Drosophila melanogaster: one gene and its partner. The protein of the gene in region 2 interacts with the protein of the main gene of each other region in a pairwise test. Each region holds a gene or a part of one and is shown on either strand. Other genes may lie near its edges.

What was found. The genes of interacting proteins can lie anywhere in the genome.
Region 1: the proteins of AMPdeam (region 2) and pHCl-1 interact in a two-hybrid assay, tested with the Drosophila melanogaster proteins (one large-scale study listed by BioGRID).

The regions. Positions count from the first base shown.
Region 1 is NT_037436.4:15,897,078-15,900,832, reverse strand, and holds the start of pHCl-1 (pH-sensitive chloride channel 1), read left to right. Parts: upstream 1-1,912; 5' UTR 1,913-2,001; intron 2,002-3,755.
Region 2 is NC_004354.4:13,837,979-13,841,733, reverse strand, and holds the start of AMPdeam (AMP deaminase), read left to right. Parts: upstream 1-1,722; 5' UTR 1,723-1,963; coding exon 1,964-2,168; exon of another isoform or gene 2,169-2,172; intron 2,173-3,635; exon of another isoform or gene 3,636-3,749; coding exon of another isoform or gene 3,750-3,755.

The DNA of each region.
Region 1 (3,755 bases), on a different chromosome or scaffold from region 2:
GTATACATATTTCTATCTATAGTATATATATACACCCCGATATATATATACATATACACGCATTATACACCAAGGCAAGCGCTTTACTTCAGATGCAAATGCAGTGCAATGGAGAATGTTTATTACTCATTACAAAATAAACGATTCGCATACTTATTAAAATACATTTAGAGGGTAATGTTGTGTATTGTACTACGCTTTTTACGTTGTTGTTTTTGTTTTCCCCTGCGTTTCAACATAATATTGTAATATTGTAATTAGTTCTGCAAGTGATTACGGCTAAGTTAAATACTGCATTGTGCGCTTTGTTTTGTATCTTCGGATATAAGTTGAATGATTGTATTTTGTAATTTAATTTTAAGCTTGAGGAATCGCGTCTGAGGTGGATGAATTGCAGCCAGGCCGAGATCGAACCATACAAGAGATAAATATTAGAACCAACAAGTGTAAGGGAAACAACAAAACCAAACAAACAAAACAAATAAAAATAAAAACCAAACAAAGTGGCATCTGTTATTAGGTTAAAAGAATTATTGATATTGTTTGCAAGAAAATGTGTGAAATATATATAAATACAAATAAAATACCACTTAGCATAAAAACAAACCGTGAACAGACAAGCAAACAACAACAGATTGTAATTGCAATTTAAAAATAAAATTAATATTTCAAATAATAACCAAGCCGTTTTAAATAAAATGCCAATGGGAAGTTCTATGTGGTGTATGGGGCGTATGCGTAATTTTATTAAAAGTCAGCTGTGTTTTATATAATTTAAATCGATTTCATTTACTTTAATTGTTAATTGAAGTAATTTTTTTTGTTGTGAAGTTAATTTTTATTATGCAAAAACAAACTTATTTTATATATTTGTTGCCTTTTTACAAGTTACTTAAATATTTTAATTAAAAATACATACATTCTATATCACAAAATATAAAAAATATCTTAAATAAACATCTCATCATTTTTGATTGCTAGAATGCACAACCATCCCACTGTGCGACGTGCATCCGCAAAGGATTACGTCACTTGCCGCCGCGTCTCCTTTTTTTTTTTTTTTTTTTTTTTTTTTTTTTTTTTTTTTTCCATATTACGATGATGTTTTTATTATTTGATCAACGCACTGTTACCCATGCGGCAACTTAATTTGATCTGCTTAAATTATTTTATTTTACAATGTGTCTTGGTTACTTAAGACTAACAGATTTTTAATCCTAAAAATGATAGGGAGAATTATAATAGTTGATATAACATAGTAATTATTATTTATTTGATTATTCTAATGAATTTTAAAACTAAGACTTTCTAGGTCAAAACCAGGTTAGGGAGGTCATGAGGGTGGTGTCGCTTGAGTCTTCTTTTGACTCTAGTCCGAGGGTCAGCATTGACCACAGCTGCAGTTCCTAGCTTCCTTGCTAGGCTGTTGGGGTGTACATTAAGCCTTTCCATATATTTTTGGGCGATGTTCTGGAGCTTGTCTCCTAATTTGGGCACCTTGAGGTCGCGTTCGATGTCTCTTGTTCTCATATACCAAGGAGCCCCCGAGCCGCCGCGTCTCCATCGACACGGAGACTGACCCTCGGGCATCAGCTGTTTTTACGGACGAAGGATGACGGGGAGCCATAGGGGGAGCAGCGGTGCCGAGGGGTCGAAATGCCGCATGCACTGGCGGCAATCAGCTGTGAAGCTTTGGGGCACTCGGAAAGCTGCCCAATTCAAGGAGCTTCGGAGAGAGCCGGCGGTGAGCTTTGGCTCCGAACGGGAAAATAGGAGGCGACATCGAAAAGCAAGCGGCGCACCAGAGACTTTTCGGTGTTCGCCGCGCTTCGTCATCCTGCTTTTCCGCTTTTCCGAATCGAGAATGCGTGCCAAACTGCATGAAAAGGAAAACTTGGTCAGTTGAGGTCTCAGTTCGGGTCGGGTTTGCAATTCAACAGCACTGCGGAAGCGGAGAAAACTCGTCACCAAAGCGGACGGGCCAAACAATAAGCCAGCGTAGTAATATCGACTTCACACCGCCCTCGATATATATATAATATATATATATATATATATGATATTCGCAAGAAAACGGTATCGGAATGATATCCAAAAGTGCCAACCCATTGAGGGCCTAATCCAATGTGTTGGAAAATGATTGAAAATCGCGTGGAAATTGCAATGTGCGAATTGAAATGTGTATTTGTGTTTTGAATTCTTAACGCTCAACCCAAGTGTTTCCATTTTTTGCAGTGAGTGAGTGAGCGAGTGAGTTATGTAAAGCTCTGGTGTTGGGTTCTTTTCGGTCTTCGCGTTGGGTGCGGGATAGTAACCCATACCACCGCCCGCAACAATAACAACAACAACAACAATTGTAGCAACTGCACCACCAGTAACAACAAGAACAACCACAGCGAGCGTGTGAAGCGACAATAAGTGTTGCAAGATTGAGTGGCTTCAAAAAAGTGGTCATTAAAAATTAAAGCTAGAGAATTAGGATGCAAAGAATTGGGATTTCAAAACTAGGATTGTACTGGCGGTGAAAATTAAGTATACGCACCCACGGACCACTGCTAATTTATGCATGAACTTGAAAACTGAACACTTTTAGTGCATTTTGGCGTGCTAAGCGATAATAAGTTTATGATGCACTAAAAAATATTTAAAACCGTTTGAAGGTCAAGGAATAAGAACCGAATATTAGATTTAATTACATTTTTCAAATAACTAAATTGTCGGTTCAAAAAACCTTAATTCGACAATTCAAATTCTTAACTTTACTTGGTTTTGTAATACAATTTATTTGAGGAAAATATTTCAAAGAAATTTTGAGTTTTAAATATAAAATATATAAGTAAAGCGGCTCAAAAGCATTTATTCGAGATATTAAGTATACGCACCAGAGACCACAGCTTGCAGCATATAGAAATTGTAATGGCAAAAAATATAGTAAATACTCAGAACACTTTTGTTTTAAATCATATAAATGTATTTTTCAAATTTTAAAATATATAAAATAAAATATATATCTAATATATATAAAACAAAAAAATTAAATATATAAAATATATTTTTACAAATCAAAGAAAGGGTTTCCTAGTATTAGCACATTACAAGACAATTATTTAAATTTGGAAAAAGTTTTCAGACACGCAGACCCGAGTTTAAGTTTAGGAAAGGCCGCCGCAGAGCTACACTATTTTATATAAAGCCCCAAGTTATCGCAGCTTACCCCGCGTGGGTAAATCAATCAAAAACCATTTGCAGTCGCTTCAATCCCCGGCAATCAGCCCATTGAGCAAGCTTTGTGTATCATAACACAATCAGTTTGGGTATCGGCATCAATTACCAATTATAACTTGACAATAAAATCGCCAAGTGTCCGCATAAAGAGCCCAAAAGACACTCACACACACACACACACTCAGCCGCCAATCAATTCGCTTTTAGCGGTCTCCGACTATTTTTAGTTGCACTTGCTTTCCTTTTTTCTGGTTTTTGTGTTTTTTTAAGTTTATTTTACTTTGCACAATATTAGTGTCAAGGTGCAGCCAGTGCATAGAGACAGAGATGGAAATAGACTCCGTGACAGAGACGGCGACAGTCGAGCCAAAAGAGCAAGTCAAGAAAGCGCAAAAGAAACCAAGAAAAGGGGCGAGAAAATGGGAACCCCTTTTCTTGGCGGCGGCGACGACATCGCGAGAAAGCAACACACGAAAAGGTGGCTATCAAAAAATAATAACAAATACAACCACACGATGGGGAGGGGTGTG
Region 2 (3,755 bases):
CACGTCTATAAGAATGCCCATCTTTCAATATATACATATGAATATATATATCTATATATACATAAACATATATATTTGCATAGTATATGTATGAATGTTTGCATATCGCACACTCGGCAAATAAGGCAAATGAACTGACAATGACTTGCAGACATGGCGAAAAGCGCACAATACCACCAGGTTGAACAAACCAATTGGCCTATGAAGCTATCAAAGAAAAAAGAAAAAAAGCTGAAAAAACTTCACATGGGTTATTAACAACCCACCGCTAACCACCGATACCGATACTCCATTGCCAATTCCAATTCCAATTCCAATTTTGGCTCCCATCTGGGGGCTATTGATAAGCCACTTCTGACAGGGCGTTAAACAAATCGAGCCGAGCCCTCCTAATAGAGGAAAGTTACCAGACTAGAATACGGAATAGCAAACTACGAATTTGAAGTGGTGTGTCAAGGAGGCAGCCTTATCGTACTTATCACTTGTCGATCGATTCGATCGAAACATCGCCAAAATGGATCATTAATTTGGTGGTCTACAAGTATTATGCAGAAATTATGTATTTGACAATGATAAATGAGCATATAGGTGGTTTCAAGTTGAGAAATAACCAATTCCATAATCAATTTAAAGAGTGGCACAGTATAATGCATTTTTGACCAATAAGGTCCGCCTTTTGGCCAAATTATTTATACAAATTTACCTAAAATGATGTATCGTACCTCGCTGAGTTTGAAAAGTAGTTTTTCATTTAGTATTTCAATATAAAAATTCTAAATTGTTGCCATTTTCGCAAATTTTGGGTTACAAAAATGGTAAAATTTTGAATTTGGGTATAAAAATAATCCATTTTTTGACCAAAACTTGAAAATTAGTGCTCCAAATATGGAATGTCATATATCGTTGAGTTCGTAATTAAATTTCCAATCAAACTGTATTTAAAAGTTAGAATTCCATTTTTTTGCAATTTTTTGCAAATTTTGATGATGGTACCCCTTACAAAAAATGCAAAAATTTACGAAAAAATTTTTTTTCCAAAATTCGTCAAAAAGTGATAGAATTAGTTAGCATTGGTAATTAGCTGCTCAAAACAGGTATTCTTTTATCTATATGACCATTTTTACCAAAGTTATGACGAAAATTCGGTTTGTAAATATCAAATTTTTGGTAAAAGTCGTTTTTCCGAATTTCAATAAATGGAAAAACTGTTAGTCCTTTAAATCACATGCCCATTCTTAGCTAATCAGAAGAGGTTAAAGTTAGAGACGATGCCATATTGTTAATCGTCTAATTTGTACATATGTATATATCTATTTTTTTTACTGGGTTCGAAGAGCTTTGATCTTGAAAACCCCCTTTGGCGTTCCACCCATTCGGCGTGGCTATATGCAGTTTGTTTATCCAAAATATTGTTTATAATTAGCAAACATTGTGGGCTTTCCGAGCTTTGTGCCGCAGCCGTGTTTGCTAGTGACTAGAAAGCTCCCTACCAACTTTACCCGATATATAAACTTTGGATCCGCTGGGATCGGGAGAGGTGTGAAACTATATAAAGAGTGAGAGAGGAGAGAAAGCAGAGGAAAATACTGAGGCGTAGACAAAGAAAAAAGCGAAAGACAGACGCGTAGGAGATGCGCGAATTGCGTCGAACGGAATTCAAACTAAATTAAGTGCAGTCGATCGCGGGCGGTATATATATTCCACCGATCCGAACCGACAGTTGCCCAAAGACATTGCCCCAGAGCAGAATATCGAGCAGAGCGGCGACACCTGTCACCGGGGGAATTACATAAAAAACAAAACAAAAATAAAAAAAACACAAACACTCAAGATTTTCACAACACACAAATCAGTAAACATCGGAGAAAAATCGAAACAAATCAACACGAAACACTCATTTGGATTAGCCGTTAGCCAATATAGACCGTTCAGGATCCCAGGATCCAGGATCTCAATTGCCGAGATGTCGTACCGCGGAATGCTGAGCACCTCGGACGGTTCGCCCGTCGAGCTGCGCGTCCAGGATGTGGACTCCTTTGACGGATCGATGATGTCCCATGCGGCCACCAATGCGGCCGGTCCGCTGGGCAGCAAGGCCAGCGGCAAGTCCCTCAACGCCTGCACCTCCATGTCCATGCCCCAAAAGCCGAGTTCCCTAAGGGCGACATGTAAGTCGCCAGTTCCCCAGCCGCTGCCCATGTAAGTGAATGCATCGCGACGACACAAGCCACACGAGCCACACGAACCACCCAACCGCCACCCACTGACCTCGTGCACTGCGCGAAAACACAGCAGTCCAGTTGGTAGCAAAACGTATGGCCTTAAATCAATGAAGATGGGCTAACTTATTTCTTGCAAATCATCGCTTACCTATTACAATATTATACCAAGTTGAATGTTTCTTTGTACATCTCTTTCTTTCGATGTCTTTGTCTTTGTCTTTCTCTCTCTCTCTATTTTCTCTGCTGCAAAAAGAAAGCAAATGACATTCACTCTCCCACGCACACAGCAAAGCACTCTCACTCAAAACAAAAAAAAAACCTGTAGCAATAACTCACACGGTTCGCTACACTCGAAGAAATGCCTTGTGTGGATGCAGATATGATCTTTGGTTACAAGCTGTATTTAAGAACTTCTTAACTTGTTAACAATGCTTGTTTTATTAAGCAAATATTGCCCACAAGCCGCATCAGTTGCCTGAAAATTGTTTAATTCATTTATTATTGTATGTACCACTGCATTGTTTCAGTGTAGCGCTAATCCTCTGTCGCTGCGCTGCCAATCAGTCGCAACATCTCTTGAGTCGCACTAACCCATATAGAAATATAGGAAAGTTATAATACCCTGTAAAGTGGTATAGCACTTGGGTTTCTTAAGATACATACTTCAAAATATACAAAAATAAAATGATAATAAATCAGTTTAGATTGCGTCAATCAAGTTTCTGCGAATATATCCCGGTGCCTTGTGGAATAATAAGCTTTTTAGTTAAGATAATTAGCCCACTTAAATATGATTCTTTGCGGCGGGTTTATTCCTTTGATGATAGGAGATTATTGTTGTTTTTGTGACCTTGAAGTGTATTCCAACTTCGGATCGTTTTAATCAGTCTCCTCATCTAGTTTGTTGTGTTTTGAGTGCGTGTTTTGATTTTGCCAGTATTTTTGCTATCTCCGCTAATCCCTCTCTCCTCCATTTCCGTCTCTTTCGTGCTGTTTTACACTGCAAAAAAAATATAAAAGAACAATTAAAATAAATAATATTAGCTATTATAATCTATATTTGAATTATTACCAAACATCCAAGTGATCTATTCAAATGATCTTGAATATCAGTTAGTTCGGATTAATAATTTCACAGTGAATCTAAGCTTATATGTAAATATTTTTCAGTGCCCTTCTTTTTTGTAAAACTTTGTTGTTCGCCCAATTTGTAGTCGCCAATCAATTCCGTGTGGTTGTTTTCTTGGAAGTCAATGTTTTAGTTCGTTTAATTTTATTTTTTTTATTATTTATTTGTGCCTCCAAAGATGATGCGCCTCTGCTGCAGTCGCAGTCGCAGTCTCAGTCGCTGTCGCTGTCGACGTCGGTAGATCTCGGCCTGGAATTCTCCGATCTTCGACGTTTTCCAATTTCATTCAGGCGACAACTCTCGAACAAGTTACTTCACAACACAACCTTGTCTACGATCCTCCGATTTCCCGGGTTTTCTCTGCATTTTCTGTACACTTTTTCATTTTTTTTTTTGCCATGAAC